Linked DNA regions of Anolis sagrei. Each later gene encodes a partner of the first gene's protein in a complex. Links are inferred from orthologs where the notes say so. Each region holds a gene or a part of one and is shown on either strand. Other genes may lie near its edges.

Region 1 (7,860 bases):
GCTGACAATATAAGAGGGGCAATTCTCTACTCTTAAAGTGATGGTCACCCATGCTTTCAGTGCAATGAGGTGGTTTGTAGGGCATCACCTGCAAGTTTCAAGGCAAGTGAGAAACTGGGGTACCTAATGGGCACAAACATGATGCTAAGCCTTGACACAATGTGTGTTTGTGTGGGGAACCATTCCCTCTCCCTGAATAGCCTGAGAAGCCCTGTCCTACATGTAGCTATGCCTCCCAGCCAGCCATATATAGGACAACAGTTGCAATTTTCCTACTAACTGTGTTATTATTTATGTCAGGCATGTCAAACTGATTCTCATTGAGAGCCACATCAGTGTTACCGTTGCCTTCAAAGGGCCATTGAATCCATGGATGGAAAATCCATGGATACAGAGAGCAAACAGTAACACGATGTAACAAAATTTGTGGAGTGGGGGGACATGTTTCTGGTTTGAAAGTGTTATTTCTTGTTAAATTGTGCAGTACTTACTTTGAAAGTTGTTATACTCTACATTGTTATATTCCAGATTGAAACTTTGTTTTTGTGGCTGCCACAAACTATGTTGAATTGGTTGAGCCTTGGTGAGATATTCATTGAAAAACTAGAGCAAAATGTGCTGCAGGATGTCCTGCAAAAAAAGAAAAGAAAAGAAAAGAAAAGGTTTTGCAGTTTAATAAGCTTTTTCCATGTTTTTATGGTAGACCCAATTAGGAAATGACATTTATAAACCAGGAACAAAAATTGTGTTACATAATGTAATTGTTTTACATAGTTGTTGGCACGCTTTAATTTTTATGTAAATTTACATAAGATTGAAGGACAACTTTAATCCCTGTTGACAATACGCCATGCGGAACGGAGATAACAGGAATGGCAACTCAGGAGCCCTTGTGGTTCTGAAGTTGAGGAAAGACTAAAAGACATTTTAACGTCAACACAAACCACACTCTCCTGACTAAACAGAACAAGCTTTGGCCCAACTCCCATCAGCTTTAGTATGGTGATATAGGAGTCATACTCCAGCATCTGGAAAGCCACTGAAAATGCCACAGTGGGATGGATTTGGCTCATGAACCTAGAGTTTGACATCCGGGGTGTAGATGCACCCCGAGACCTTGCAAGGCTTGAATACATAGCAATGATTTATGAGTTATAGATATCTCTCTGTGTGTGTGGATGAATATGTATGTGTATACAGTAGAACCTCAACTTAAAAGCGTTCCAACCTAAAAGCATTTTGAGTCATGAGCTGTCACTTGTCCAGGTTTTGCTTTGACATACAAGCAGCATTTTGCATTAAGAGCTGGTGCTAGAGGGAGCACTAGCGAAAGAGTACAGTGCTTTAGAGCTTCAAGGGAGTAGCATCCGTACCATGTGCTCTTGTCTGCTTTGGGAGATTGCTGTCCCCTTTGAAGAACTTTGGGTTAGTTTGTGTGCTTTTTTATTCCTGGTATGTTTGGCTTCATGAAGAGAGGGAGAAAGAACAAGAGAGGGAGGGAGGCTGGAATGTGTCCAGTAGGAAGAAAATGATGCTTCTGCCTCTTCACTTTGGGCTTCCTTGCCACAACTTTGTACCTCTACCATTTTCAAGTTGATCTTTCTTTTTTTATTATTCCATGTGAACGTGCAGGTTTTGCCTTGCTATTACAATGGCCAGCACACATTTTGTTGCCTCAAATGTGCTTCCTTACTACAAATTTGCACTTCTACCATTTTACAGTTGATTGTTCTTTTAAACAGTTTCAAATAAATGTGCATTTATACATTACTTGTTACTGACAATTACATCTTTATTTTAAAAGCATGTAACAAAAATGGGGGGGGGGGGGTCGCACACCAGGGCTGGAAGGGCACCTTTAAACCAGTCTCACCACTCCAGAACTCAATTTATAAGCAAAGCAGTTTACTGAAGGTAAAAGATCAAAGGGTCGATATAAAGTTTATTTCTTTAAAAACAAAGCAATTGACCTATAATTCCCAGAATCCTCAGCCACATCAGGTAAAGAACCAGGCTTCTGTGAGACCTCAGATGCTGTCACAATCACAGGCTGAACCACAACAAGGGGCATGGAATGGATTAATAGCAGTTCAATGGAAAATTAGCTTTGAGATAACAGCATTTTGAGTTAAGAGTCCAGTCATAAACAATTTAAACTCTTAACTCAAGGTATCATTGTACACACACACACACACATATATGTGTGTGTGTGTATGTTTATATTGTATGTATATGTGTATGTGTATGTCTATGTATATATGTGTGCATACTTTATGTATATAGGTGTGTATGTATATGTGTATATGTATGATTATATTTATATATGTGTGTGTATATGCATGCATGTGTTTATATTTGTATGTATATGCATATATGTGCTTGTATATATATGTATGCATATATGTGAATGTACATGTGTATGTGCATGTGTATATATGTGTATGTATATATGTGTATGTTGTATTTGTATATGTATATATATTGGGTGTGTGTTTATATTTGCATGTGTATATTTGTGTATATGTATATATGTTTATATTTGTATATATGTGTTTATATTTGTATGTATATATGTGTGTGTTTATATTTGTATGTATATGTGCATATATATATGTGTGTGTTTGTATATTTATATGTGCATGCATATGTGTATGTTTACATTTATATGTACAGATGTGCATGCATATGTGTATGTTTATATTTGTATATGTAGGTATGTGTATGTTTATATTTGTGTGTACTGTATATATGTATGTACAAGTGAATGTTTATATTTGTATGTATATGCATATATGTATGTATATATATGTATATATGTGCATGTACTTGTGCATATGAATATATGTGTAGGTTTGTATTTGTATGCATATATATGTATGTATGTTTTTGTTGTTCATTCGTTCAGTCACTTCCGACTCTTCATGACCTCATGAACCAGCCCATGCCAGAGCTTCCTGTCGGCTCCTTATCTTTTCTGGCTAACCTCTGGCATTGTGCATTTACAGTGTATGTATATATGTATATTTATATTTGTATATATATGGGGATATATTTCTATGCGGATGTATATGTATGTTTATATTTGTGTGTATATGCATATGTATGTATGCATATATGTGCATGTACTTATCTGTATATATATGTGGGTATTTATTTATTTTTATTTATTTGATGCATTTATTAACCGCCATTCTCAGCCCATTAGGGCGACTCATGGCGTATGCATATATATATATGCATGTGTATATGATGAATGGGTATCAAGGAGGAATTCTGTGTGGCACCCACAAACTTGGCAGCTGCTCAAGCCTAGCAGATGTATGTATATGTGTGTGTTTATATTTGTATGTATATGTGCATATATATGTGTGTGTGTGCATATTTATATGTGCATCCATATGTGTATGTTTACATTTATATGTAAAGATGTGCATGCATATGTGTATCTTTATATTTGTATATGTGGGTATGTGTATATTTGTATACTGTATATATGTATGTATAAGTGAATGTTTATATTCGTATATATATGCATATGTGTATGTGTATATATATATATATATATACATATATGCATATATGTGCATGTACATGTGCATATGTATGTATGTGCAGGTTTGTATTTGTATGTATATATGTGGGTGTGCGTTTATATTTGTATGTATATATATATATATATATATATATGTATTTGTTGTTCATTCATTCAGTCACTTCTGACTCTTCATGACTTCATGAGCCAGCCCATGCCAGAGCAACCTGTCAGCCGTCACCACCCCCAGCTCCTTCAAGGTCCTTATCTCTTCTGGCTAACCTCTGGAGTTGTGCATTTACTGTGTATGTATATATGTATATTTCTATTTGTAAACAAAGATCTGCATAGTCAAAGCCATGGTATTCCCTGTAGTAACCTACGGATGTGAGAGCTGGACCTTAGGGAAGGCTGAGTGAAGGAAGATCGATGCTTTTGAACTGTGGTGTTGGAGGAAAGTGCTGAGAGTGCCGTGGACTGCGAGAAGATCCAACCAGTCCATCCTCCAGGAAATAAAGCCCAGAGGGAAGGATACTGGAGACATTGGAGGGAAGGATACTGGAGACAAAGTTGAAATACTTTGGCCACATCATGAGGAGACAGCAAAGCCTAGAGAAGACAATGATGATGGGGAAAGTGGAAGAAAAAAAGGAAGAGGGGCTGACCAAGGGCAAGATGGATGGATGGCATCCTTGAAGTGACCGGACTGACCTTGAAGGAGCTGGGGGTGGTGACAGCTGACAGGGAGCTCTGGCGTAGGCTGGCCCATGAGGTCCCGAAGAGTCGGAGATGACTAAACAAATGAACAACAACAACAAAATATGCCTATCTATGTATGTATGCATATATGTCCATGTACATATGTGTATACATGTGAGTATGCATATATGTGTATGCATGTGTATATGATGGATGGGTATCAAGGAGGAATTCTGTGTGGCACCCACAAACTTGGCAGCTGCTCAAGCCTAGCAGAGAAGAGGTTGTTGTGTGACTGAGTCTTGTACCTGAAGGAGGGCCACCTTTGTAGAGAGAAGGCAGGCATGGGGAGCGTGGAGAAGCGAGGAAAGGGGGGGGGGTCCCCAAGTTGGTACCAGGTTGGGGGGGTAGGCAGCCCCTTCTTCCAGCTCTGAGGACAAAAGGCGCTCCCAGCCCTGCGGATGCCTCCTTGGCGAAGGGGCCCCTTGCCTTGGGATGGCGCCCCTCCTTCCCTCCTCCCTCCCTGCCTCCGTCCAGCCAGCCAGCCAGCCATCTAGCCAGCCTCCCCCTTCCTTCCTCCCCTTCCCTTTCCCCTCCTCCTCCTCCTCCCCCTCCCTCCCGAGGAGCTCCGTTTCCCACTTGCCAGGAGCAGATTAAAAAAAAGAGAGAGAAAGAAAAAAAAAACCCCGCAACAACCCAGAAAACGGGGAGGGACCTCTTCTGTCAGAGCCTTATGTAGATTAACCTTTCAATTAGCCGTGATCAAGTCCCTGCTTTTAGAGCCCACCACCACCACCGGGTCCGGGAGACAAATCTGCAGCCACCAAGAAAGGTCGGATGGGGGGGAATTGATGGATGGATGGATTGGTTTGCAAAAGATTGGATTCTTTGGAAGGGGGAGGGAAAGGAGGATGAGGATGGGGAGGATTCCTCCCGTTGGAGTGCTTCTGCTTCCCAATCTCTGGGGGTTTTTGTGTGGGGTGTGTTTTGGGATTGTTGTGGAGCAGGGAAATCGATAGTTTGGGGGGAAAGGGTTGTTGTTGTTGGTGGGGTTCTTCTCTTTGCCTTCTCCTCGGAGCCACATTCCTAAGGAGCATCTCTCCTTTCTCTCTCTCTGTCTCCCTCCCGCCAAGGCACGTGTTTACAGAGGATCCGTGCCTTTCCCTCCTCCCTCCCTCCTTATAGACTGCGATTGTTTCCTGCAGGAAATGGGCGGGTTCGGCGGGCCCCGCGTGCCTGGGCAGGCAGCGCGTGCACCCTTCTTCCTCCCTCTCTCTCTCAATCTTTCCCTTCCTTCTGATTTGGAGCTTGTTTTGTTTCCCCTTTCAATTCCGCCCGCCCGCGTGGCGTGAAACTCAATAATAATAACAATAATAATACAGTACTCCCGCGCGCCGCTGATTAGTATGTGTCGCGTGCCCTCCCGCACGCCGAAAGCGCCCCCCGCTCTATTCCCACAGATTACAAACTTCAGGATGAAACCGAAGCAAAGGCAAAAAAAAGGGAGGCTGCTTGAGCTTGATTGATAGCTTCACTAGCCTATTAAACAAGCCAAAGCGTGCCTCCCTTTTCTCTCTCTCTCAATCTTCGTCCCTCCCCCTTTTTATGTGTAATTGCCAGCCAACTAGGATCGTGGACAGCGACAGTGCATTTTTTTCCCTCCCCCGACTATAGGATTGATTGACAGCACTCACCGTCCAATGGCGTGCTAGGTCTAAATGGGTTGGTGGAGAGGAATGACGAGAGGCAGGGCGCTGCCGCCAATGAGCGCGGCGGTTTGAACGAAGAGGCGGGGCGTCCACCAAGGGGAGGGCAAGCGAGGGAGGGGGGGCAGAGGCTGTAATGAGCCTACATCGGGCTGTCATCGGGTGTCATGTCGGATGCGCGGTGACTGCGAGAGGGCGAGACAAAATGGCGGCAGCGAAGGCGGCTTGAAAGGCGAAGGGCGGCGAGGTGAGAAGCGGTGGCGGCGCGGGCGCTGCCCGAGGAGGAGGGAACTTGGGCGGCGGCGGGGAGGCCGGCAGGGGGCGCAGCTGGGGCTTGCCTTGGCTCCTCCCCCCGGCGGAGGGTGGGTCGCGAGCGCCCCCCGGCGGACGAGGCGAGGCAAGCAGGGGCCTCGCGCCCTCGTTGCAGGTGGCGCGCGCGAGGAGAGAGGGGGGGCGTGGGGCGGGGCCAGCTATGCAAATCAACCCTGTGAGGGCAACTGGATGGGCTTGGAGTTATTGGATGGGTAAATAAGAGGCCTGCTATGCAGAGCTGAAGGAAGCGTTGGTTGGGCGCGTGCCTTTGAACGTGGCCTCTGAGAGGCTTGGGGAGGAGAGCTCAGGACCCTTCCACACAGCTGTATAAAATCCCACATTATCTGCTTTGAACTGGGTTATATGGCAGTATGGGCTCAGGGCAGCCCTATATCCCAGAGTATCAAGGCAGAAAACCCCACAATATCTGCTTTGAAACTGGGTTATATGGCAGTATGGGCTCAGGGCAGCCCTACATCCCATAATATCAAGGCAGAAAATCCCACAATATCTGCTTTGAAACTGGGTTATATGGCAGTATGGGCTCAGGGCAGCCCTACATCCCATAATATCAAGGCAGAAAATACCACTATATCTGTTTTGAACAGGGTTATATGGCAGTATGGGCTCAGGGCAGCCCTACATCCCAGAATATCAAGGCAGAAAACCCCACAATATCTGCTTTGAACTGGGTTAGCTGAGAACACACAGAGATATTGTGGGATTTTCTGCTTTGATATTCTGGGTTATAGGGCTGTGGGGAAGGGTCCCGAGGGGCTCCTGAGGAAAACAATCTGAGTACGCTTCCACACAGGCATATAACCCAGAATATCAAGGCAGTAAATCCCACAATATCTGCTTTGAACTGGGTTATATGGCAGTATGGGCTCAGGGCAGCCCTGTATCCCAGAATATCAAGGCAGAAAATCCCACAATATCTGCATTGAACTGGGTTATATGGCAGTATGGGCTCAGGGCAGCCCTGTATCCCAGAATATCAAGGCAGAAAATCCCACAAGATCTGCATTGAACTGGGTTATATGGCAGTATGGGCTCAGGGCAGCCCTACATCCCAGAATATCAAGGCAGAAAACCCCACAATATCTGCTTTGAACTGGGTTATATGGCAGTATTGGCTTAGGGCAACCCTATATCCCAGAATATCATGGCAGAAAACCCCATAATATCTGCTTTGAACTGGGTTATATGGCAGTATGGGCTCAGGGCAGCCCTATTTCCCAGAATATCAAGGCAGAAAATCCCACAATATCTGATTTGAACTGGGTTGTATGAGTCCACACAGAGGTATTGTGGGATTTTCTGTTTTTATATTCTGGGTTATAGGGCTGTGGGGAAGGGTCCTGAGGAGTTCCTGAGAAAAACAATCTGAGGGTGCTTCCACACAGGCATATAACCCAGAATATCAAGGCAGAAGATCCCACAATATCTGCTTTAAACTGGGTTATCTGAGTCCACACAGAGATAATGTGGGATTTTCTGACTTGATATTCTGGGATATAGGGCTGTGTGGCAGGGCCCTTAGATATCCCAGTTCAAAGCAGATATTCTGGATCATCTGCCATGATATTCTGGGTCATATGGCTGTTTGGA
Region 2 (7,494 bases), on another chromosome or scaffold:
CAGTCATGCCGGCCACATGACCTTGGAGGTGTCTACGGACAACTCTGGCTCTTCGGCTTAGAAATGGAGATGAGCACCACACCCCAGAGTCAGACATGACTGGACTTAATGTCAGGGGACTACCTTTACCTTTACCTAAGCCGCCCCGAGTCGTCTTGGAGAGATAGTGGTAGGGTATAAATAAAGTGTATTATTATTATTATTATTATTATTATTATTATGAGGTCATGGGCTAGCCAAGAAAAAACAAATTGAAACTGAATCCAGACAAAGCAAAGGTGATTGCCATCAAGGGTCCTAATCTGGGGATAGAAGTGTGTCAACCAATTCTGGATGGAGTTACACTGCCCCTGAAAGACTGTGTTCGCAGCTTGGGAGTATTCCTGGATCTGTCCCTCCAAATGTCAGCCCAGGTAGCTACAACCATCAGGAGTGCTTACTACCAGCTTGGGCTGATACGTCAGCCATGACCCTACTAAATCTTGTCTGTTGGGGGCAAGTGTGAATGTTGCAAATGGCCATCTTGATTAGCATTTAATGGCCTTGCAGCTTTAAAGCCTGGCTGTTTCCTGCCTGGGGAGATGTTAGCTGGCTCTGATTGTTTCCTGTCTGGAATTCCCCTGCTTTCTGAGTGTTCTTCTTTATTTACTGTCCTGACTTTGGATTTTTTTTAAAAAAAAAATAATACTGGTATTGATATTGAGCAGGAATTTAGTGGCTCTCGCCCTGGAGGGTGAGAGCCCACAGACCCAACAATCAAAGGATTATCTTCTCAGAGGAATGTGAAGTTTTCCCTAAGGCTTTGGGCGCTGGGGTCACAAAGAGTGGCATTTCATATTTCATATAAGGGGTATGGAGAAGGGGGAAACATGCAAGTTAATCATATGAGGGTACATTCATATAAAGAGAAAGAGCCCATCTCCACCTCCCCCCACCCACCAAAGTCCATTGGGAATTCATAAAGCCATTTTGAGAGCCCATGGGGCTGGGGAGAGGAACAAGTTTTAAAAAGTCCAAAGGTTCATGGGGCTTGAAAAGGTAAAGTTTCCAAAAAGTTTCTAAGAGTCCTCCAGAAGGGGGAAAGCCCTATAAAAGTTCAAGAGAGTACATAAGTGTAAAGGGAGGTGGTTTCTCAGTAATAAATGTATTACCTTCTGCTATATATGAAGCATAGGGCATAAAACCTTGATTAAACATACACACTATCTGGCATGGGAAGGCTCCCTGTTGTGGTTGTTACTGTCTTTGCAAATTTGACCAAGACTTTACCCCTATTATCCAGCCTGATGTTTTTGTCCTTAGCAAAACTATAAGTTACTATTTCTTATGGGGGTGGGGGAGGTCATGTTCGACCTCAGTATGTTTGAACAAAATTTTGCAACCAGTATTAAAAAAACCTCTAGAATCAGGACAGTAAATAAAGTGGACAAAATGTCAGGAGATAATGCTTCTGCAACATGGCCACACAGGCTCAGAAAACTCACAGCCACCTATAATAATACTGGGCAAGGTGATTGAGAGGGTAGCAGCGAAGCAGTTGCAGCAATTCTGAGATGACACAGCCGGACTAGATCCCTTCCAGTCCAGCTTCCGTGTGGGGCACGGGACAGAGACCGTGCTGGTCTCCATCACGGATCACCTTCGATGCCAGCTTGACCAGGGCGGGTCAGCGCTGCTTGTGTTATTGGATCTCACAGCAGCATTTGACACAGTCGACCACAATCTTTTGACCCACCGCCTTGCTGTTGTTGGAGTCAGGGGGACAGCTTTAAACTGGCTGTCCTCCTTTCTTCACAACCGTGGAGAGCGAGTGAAGAGGGGAGGCCTGGTCTCTGAGAGGTCCCCTCTATCTTGTGGGGTTCCTCAGGGGGCCATTCTCTCCCCTCTGTTGTTTAACTTCTATATGCGACCACTTGCTCAGCTGGTTTGAGGTTTTGGGCTTGAGTGTTACCAGTACGCCAATGACACTCAGCTGGTGCTGAAGATGGAAGGCCGACCGGACTCTGTACCCGATTGTTTCCATCAGTGCCTCGAGGCCGTTACTGGATGGCTGCGTGCCAGCAGGTTGAGGGTGAACCCAGCAAAGACGGAGATCCTATGGCTGGGTCGACCAGTCAGTGGGGACATCCAGCTGCCTACCCTGGATGGCGAGGCGCTACGCCCGTCATCATTGGTAAAGAGTCTGGGAGTCCTTTTGGACCCTCTGCTGACGATGGAGGCCCAGGTCTCTGCCGTTAGCAGAACCGCTTTCTTTCATCTGTGGCAGTCTAGACGGCTGGCCCCCTACCTGTCCAGGGATGACCTAGCTACGGTGATCCAGGCCACGGTCATCTCAAGACTGGACTACTGTAGCGCCCTCTACATTGGCCTTCCTCTGTCGGTGATCCGGAAGCTCAAGTTGGTACAAAATGCAGCTGCTCGGCTTCTTGCGGGAATTCCGATGAGATGCCACATAACACCAATCTTACGGCAGCTGCATTGGTTACCAATTGAGCACTGGATCACTTTCAAAGTGATGGTACTCACCTTTAAGGCCTTGCATGGTCTGGGGCCGATGTACCTGAGGGACCGCCTCACCCCCTACCAACCCTAGAGATCCCTCCGTTCTGAGGACCAAGATCTATTGGAAATTCCCAGTGTCAAGACCTTGCGCCTAACAGCAACCAGACGCAGAGCCTTCACAGCAGTGGCACCATCACTCTGGAATACTCTGCCACCTGAAGTCTGGGACTTACCAGCTTTCCGCAGGGCATGTAAGACATACATGTTTCGACAGGCTTTTAATGTTTGATACTGCTGTGTTTCAATTGTTTTAAATTGCTTTTAAATTTTGTTAGATTTTAGCCATTCTTGTAAGCCGCTCCGAGCCCCAGGGGAGTGGCAGCATTTAAGTTCAAATAATAAATAAATAAATAATACTGATACAGAGAGGTTTTATTTCATCACAGGCCTGAGATCTAATTGCTAGACCAAGGTAAGGAGGAAAGCTGGTTAGGTTGGAAGCTTAAGCCTGAGGATGCATATTCTACACTGTAAAAATGATGCAGTTTGACACCACTCAATGCTAGGGGTCCCTGGGAGTTGTAGTTCTACAATGAAATGCAAAGATACAGAATGGAGGATGCCTGGCTCGAGAGCAGTACGTGTGAAAAAGATCTTGGAGTCCTCGTGGACAACAAGTTAAACATGAGCTGACAATGTGATGTGGCGGCAAAAAAAGCCAATGGGATTTTGGCCTGCATCAATAGGAGCATAGTGTCTAGATCTAGCTACCCCTCTAGGAGCATAGGAGCATAGTGTCTAGATCATGCTACCCCTCTATTCTGTTTTGGTTAGACCACATCTGGAATATTGTGTCCAATTCTGGGCACCACAATTCAAGAGAGATATTGACAAGCTGGAATGTGTCCAGAGGAGGGCGACTAAAATGATCAAGGGTCTGGAGAACAAGCCCTATGAGGAGCGGCTTAAGGAGCTGGGCATGTTTAGCCTGAAGAAGAGAAGGCTGAGAGGAGATATGATAGCCATGTATAAATATGTGAGAGGAAGCCATAGGGAGGAGGGAGCAAGCTTGTTTTCTGCTTCCTTGGAGACTAGAACGCGGAACAATGGCTTCAAACTACAAGAGAGGAGATTCCATCTGAACATGAGGAAGAACTTCCTGACTGTGAGAGCCGTTCAGCAGTGGAACTCTCTGCCCCGGAGTGTGGTGGAGGCTCCTTCTTTGGAAGCTTTTAAACAGAGGCTGGATGGCCATCTGTCAGGGGTGCTTTGAATGCAATATTCCTGCTTCTTGGCAGGGGGTTGGACTGGATAGCCCATGAGGTCTCTTCCAACTCTAGGATTCTATGGTATTTGTTAAAATTGTTCTTCATTTTAATTATTATATTGTTTTTAAGTGGTTTTTGCACTATAAATAAGATATGTGCAGTGTGCATAGGAATTCATTCATATATTTTTTTCAAATTATAATGGGGCCCTCCAATATTTTGAGGGACTCTGTTTGAGGACCCCGTTCTACACTGTAAAATTGATACAGTTTGACACCACTCAACGCTAGGGGTCCTGGGGGTTGTAGTTCTACAAGGCCTTGTAGCCTTGTAGCTACTGCCTCACCAAACTACAACTCCCAGGATACAGTGCAGATCAGGCATGGGCAAACTTGGGCCTTCCTGGTGCTAGGAATTGTGGGAGTTGAAGTCCAAAACACCTGGAGGGCCCAAGTCTGCCCGTGCCTGGAAGAGAGAGATGCACTCTAACCCAGCTCTGCCTCCTTCTCCCTCCCCTTCCTTCGTTTGGGCCTAGCCTTGCCATTCCCGCGAGCAGATTCGTCTCACGTTCTCACCAAGTGAACTTTCTTTTCACTCCAGAGAAAAACAAAAGGGATTAATATTCAAATGGATTTAAATAAGTGTTAAAATAAACCTGTGAATGGGGTCAAATTCCGAATATGCCTGCTCCTGGGTGTCGAAAGTGCGGTTGCCAAGGAGCCGCTTTACCCAGCGGGGCCTCCCCGCGCAGGAGCTGCCTCTCTCTCTGTTGCTGCTGCTGCTGGTTCTTCTGCTGGCCGACACTGAAAAATCAGAAGGACGAGGAGAAGAAGAAGGAGAAGAAGCTGGAGCCTGGCCGCCCTCGTCCCTCGCCTTCTCCTCTTTCTCCTCCTCCTCCATTGTCCGGGTTGGGGCCCATGGCGGCTGCCGACGCCACGCTGCAGCCGCCTCACAGCCCCCGCAGGCCTGAGGCCTAAGTCGCTTCGGGTGAGGAGGGGAGCCGGGGACGGAGGGGAAGAGGGCCTGCGGGAGGCAAAACGGGCCTCCGCCTTGGAGGGGATATTAAGGCTGGGTGGAGGATTCACGGGGTTCGGCGGTTGCGGCCTACTCTTTCTTGCCTCAGATCCACACGAGAAAGGGGGGCGCAGCCACCCTGTGCGGTTAAAACGGTTTGGCACCGCTTTAAACTGCCCCTGCTCAAGGCTGTGGAGTCTTGGGAGTTGTAGTTTGTTCCAGGCAGCAGTGTTGACTTCAGGCGCATCTATATTACAGAATGAATGCAGTTTCAGGCACACATCTATATTACAGAATTAATTCAGTTTAACTGCCACTGCTGAAGTCAGTGGGATCTTGGGAGTTGTTGTTTGTTCCTGGCAGCAGTGCTGACTTCAGGCACACATCTATATTACAGAATTAATGCGGTTTGGCACCGCTTTAACTGCCCCAGCTCAAAGCTAGGGAGTCCAGGGAGTTGTAGTTTGTTCCTGGCAGCAGTACTGATTTAAGGCACATCTATATTACAGAATGAATGCAGTTTGGCGCCGCTTTAACTGCCCTGGCTCAAGGAAGTGGCATCCTGGAAGTTGTGGTTTGTTCTTGGCAGCAGTGCTGACTTCAGGCACACATCTATGTTACAGAATGAATGCAGTTTGGCACTGCTTTAACTGCCCTGGCTCAATGAAGTGGGATCTTGGGAGTTGTAGTTTGTTCCTGGCAGCAGTGCTGACTTCAGGCACACATCTATATTACAGAATTAATGCAGTTTGGCGCCGCTTTAACTGCCCTGGCTCAAGGAAGTGGGATCCTGGGAGTTGTAGTTTGTTCCTGACAGCAGTGCTGACTTCAGGTACACATCTATATTACAGAATGAATGCGGTTTGGCGCCGCTTTAACTGTCACTGCTCAAGTCAGTGGGATCTTGGGAGTTGTAGTTTGTTCCTGGCAGCAGTGCTGACTTCAGGCGCATCTATATTACAGAATGAATGCAGTTTCAGGCACACATCTATATTACAGAATTAATTCAGTTTAACTGCCCCTGCTCAAGTCAATGGGATCTTGGGAGTTGTAGTTTGTTCCTGGCAGCAGTGCTGACTTCAGACACACATCTATGTTCCAGAATGAATGCAGTTTGGCACCGCTTTAACTGCCCTGGCCCAAGGCTAGGGAGTCCAGGGAGTTGTAGTGTGTTCCTGGCAGCAGTACTAATTTAAGGCGCATCTATATTACAGAATTAATTCAATTTAATTGCCACTGCTCAAGTCATTGGGATCTTGGGAGTTGTAGTTTGTTCCTGGCAGCAGTGCTGACTTCAGGCACATATATATTACAGAATGAATGCAGTTTCAGGCACACATCTATATTACAGAATTAATTCAATTTAACTGCCACTGCTCAAGTCAGTGGGATCTTGGGAGTTGCTGTTTGTTCCTGGCAACAGTGCTGACTTCAGGCATACATCTATGTTACAGAATGAATGGAGTTTCGCACCACTTTAACTGCCCCAGCTCAAAGCTAGGGAGTCCAGGGAGTTGAAGTTTGTCCCTGGCAACAGTGCAGACTTCAAGCGCACCTATATTAAAGAATGAATGCAGTTTGGCGCAGCTTTAACTGCCACTGCTCAAGGCTATGACATCCTGGGAGTTGTAGTTTGTTCCTGGCAGCAGTGTTGACTTCAGGCACACATCTATATTACAGAATGAATGCAGTTTGGCATTGCTTTAACTGCCCTGGCTCAAGGCTGTGGGATCCTGGAAGTTGTAGTTTGTTTCTGGCAGCAGTGCTGACCTCAGGCGCATCTATATTACAGAATGAATGCAGCTTGGCACTGCTTTAACTGCCACTGCTCAAGGCTATGGCATCCTGGGAGTTGTAGTTTGTTCCTGCCAGCCGTGCTGACATCAGGTACACATCTATATTACAGAATGAATGCAGTTTGGCACTGCTTTAACTGCCCTGGCTTAAGGCTGTGGGATCCTGTGAGTTGTAGTTTGGTGAGGGCCCAGCCAAGAAGACTAAAGACCTTGTGAAACTACAGCTGGGAGGACCCTACTGCCTTGAGTTGAAGTGGTGTCAAGTGGCCACTCATTCTGCAGAACAATGGGGAATGGAGCCAGAGAGAATAGAGACTGAGGGTGGCATCTGTAATGTTGAATTAGTTGTTTGACACCACTTTCATTGCCCTGGCTAAATGCTAGAGAAGCATGGGAGCTGTTCATTTACAACAGGCATCAGTTAGAAATTGTGGGAGTTGAAGTCCAAAACACCTGGAGAGCCCAAGTTTGCCATGCCTCGTTTACAAGGTCTTCTGTTTTCTCTGCCAAAGAGAGCTGATTCCTCAAAAAACTACAAATCCCATGATTGCATAGCATTGAGCCACAGCAGTTAAAGGGGTCCCAAACTGCATTCATTCTACTATGTTTAGATCAGTCCACCAACTGTTAGGAACTGTGGGAGTTGGAGGGCTGAAGTTTGCCCAGGCCTGGTATAGAGGAAGGGGTGGCTTGATAGTCCTGCCATCCCTCCTTCACCCCAATTGGTTGCCCAGTATGTAGGAGGCATGTGTGTCAGAATTAAAGTTGATACTGCTTTAACTGTCATGGCTCAGTGTGGTAGAATCCTGGGAGTTCTAAGTTTACAAGATCTTTAGCTTTCTATGCCTCACCAAATCCTACAATTCCATAGAGCTTTGCAAAGTCTTTTTATCCCTGTCTGCCAAAGAGGGAAG

Evidence for each region. Proteins that work in one complex are often made in the same cells at the same time.
Region 2: KAT6B (region 1) and BRPF1 share a complex: the UniProt entries of both Homo sapiens proteins name them as parts of the MOZ/MORF complex. The link is inferred for Anolis sagrei from reciprocal best matches to the Homo sapiens genes KAT6B and BRPF1.

What each region holds. Positions count from the first base shown.
Region 1 is NC_090023.1:148,789,242-148,797,101, forward strand, and holds the start of KAT6B (histone acetyltransferase KAT6B), read left to right. Parts: upstream 1-4,852; 5' UTR 4,853-5,063; intron 5,064-6,097; exon of another isoform or gene 6,098-6,184; intron 6,185-7,860. UniProt on the Homo sapiens protein: Histone acetyltransferase which may be involved in both positive and negative regulation of transcription. Required for RUNX2-dependent transcriptional activation. May be involved in cerebral cortex development.
Region 2 is NC_090022.1:26,957,084-26,964,577, forward strand, and holds the start of BRPF1 (peregrin), read left to right. Parts: upstream 1-4,489; 5' UTR 4,490-4,757; intron 4,758-7,494. UniProt on the Homo sapiens protein: Scaffold subunit of various histone acetyltransferase (HAT) complexes, such as the MOZ/MORF and HBO1 complexes, which have a histone H3 acetyltransferase activity.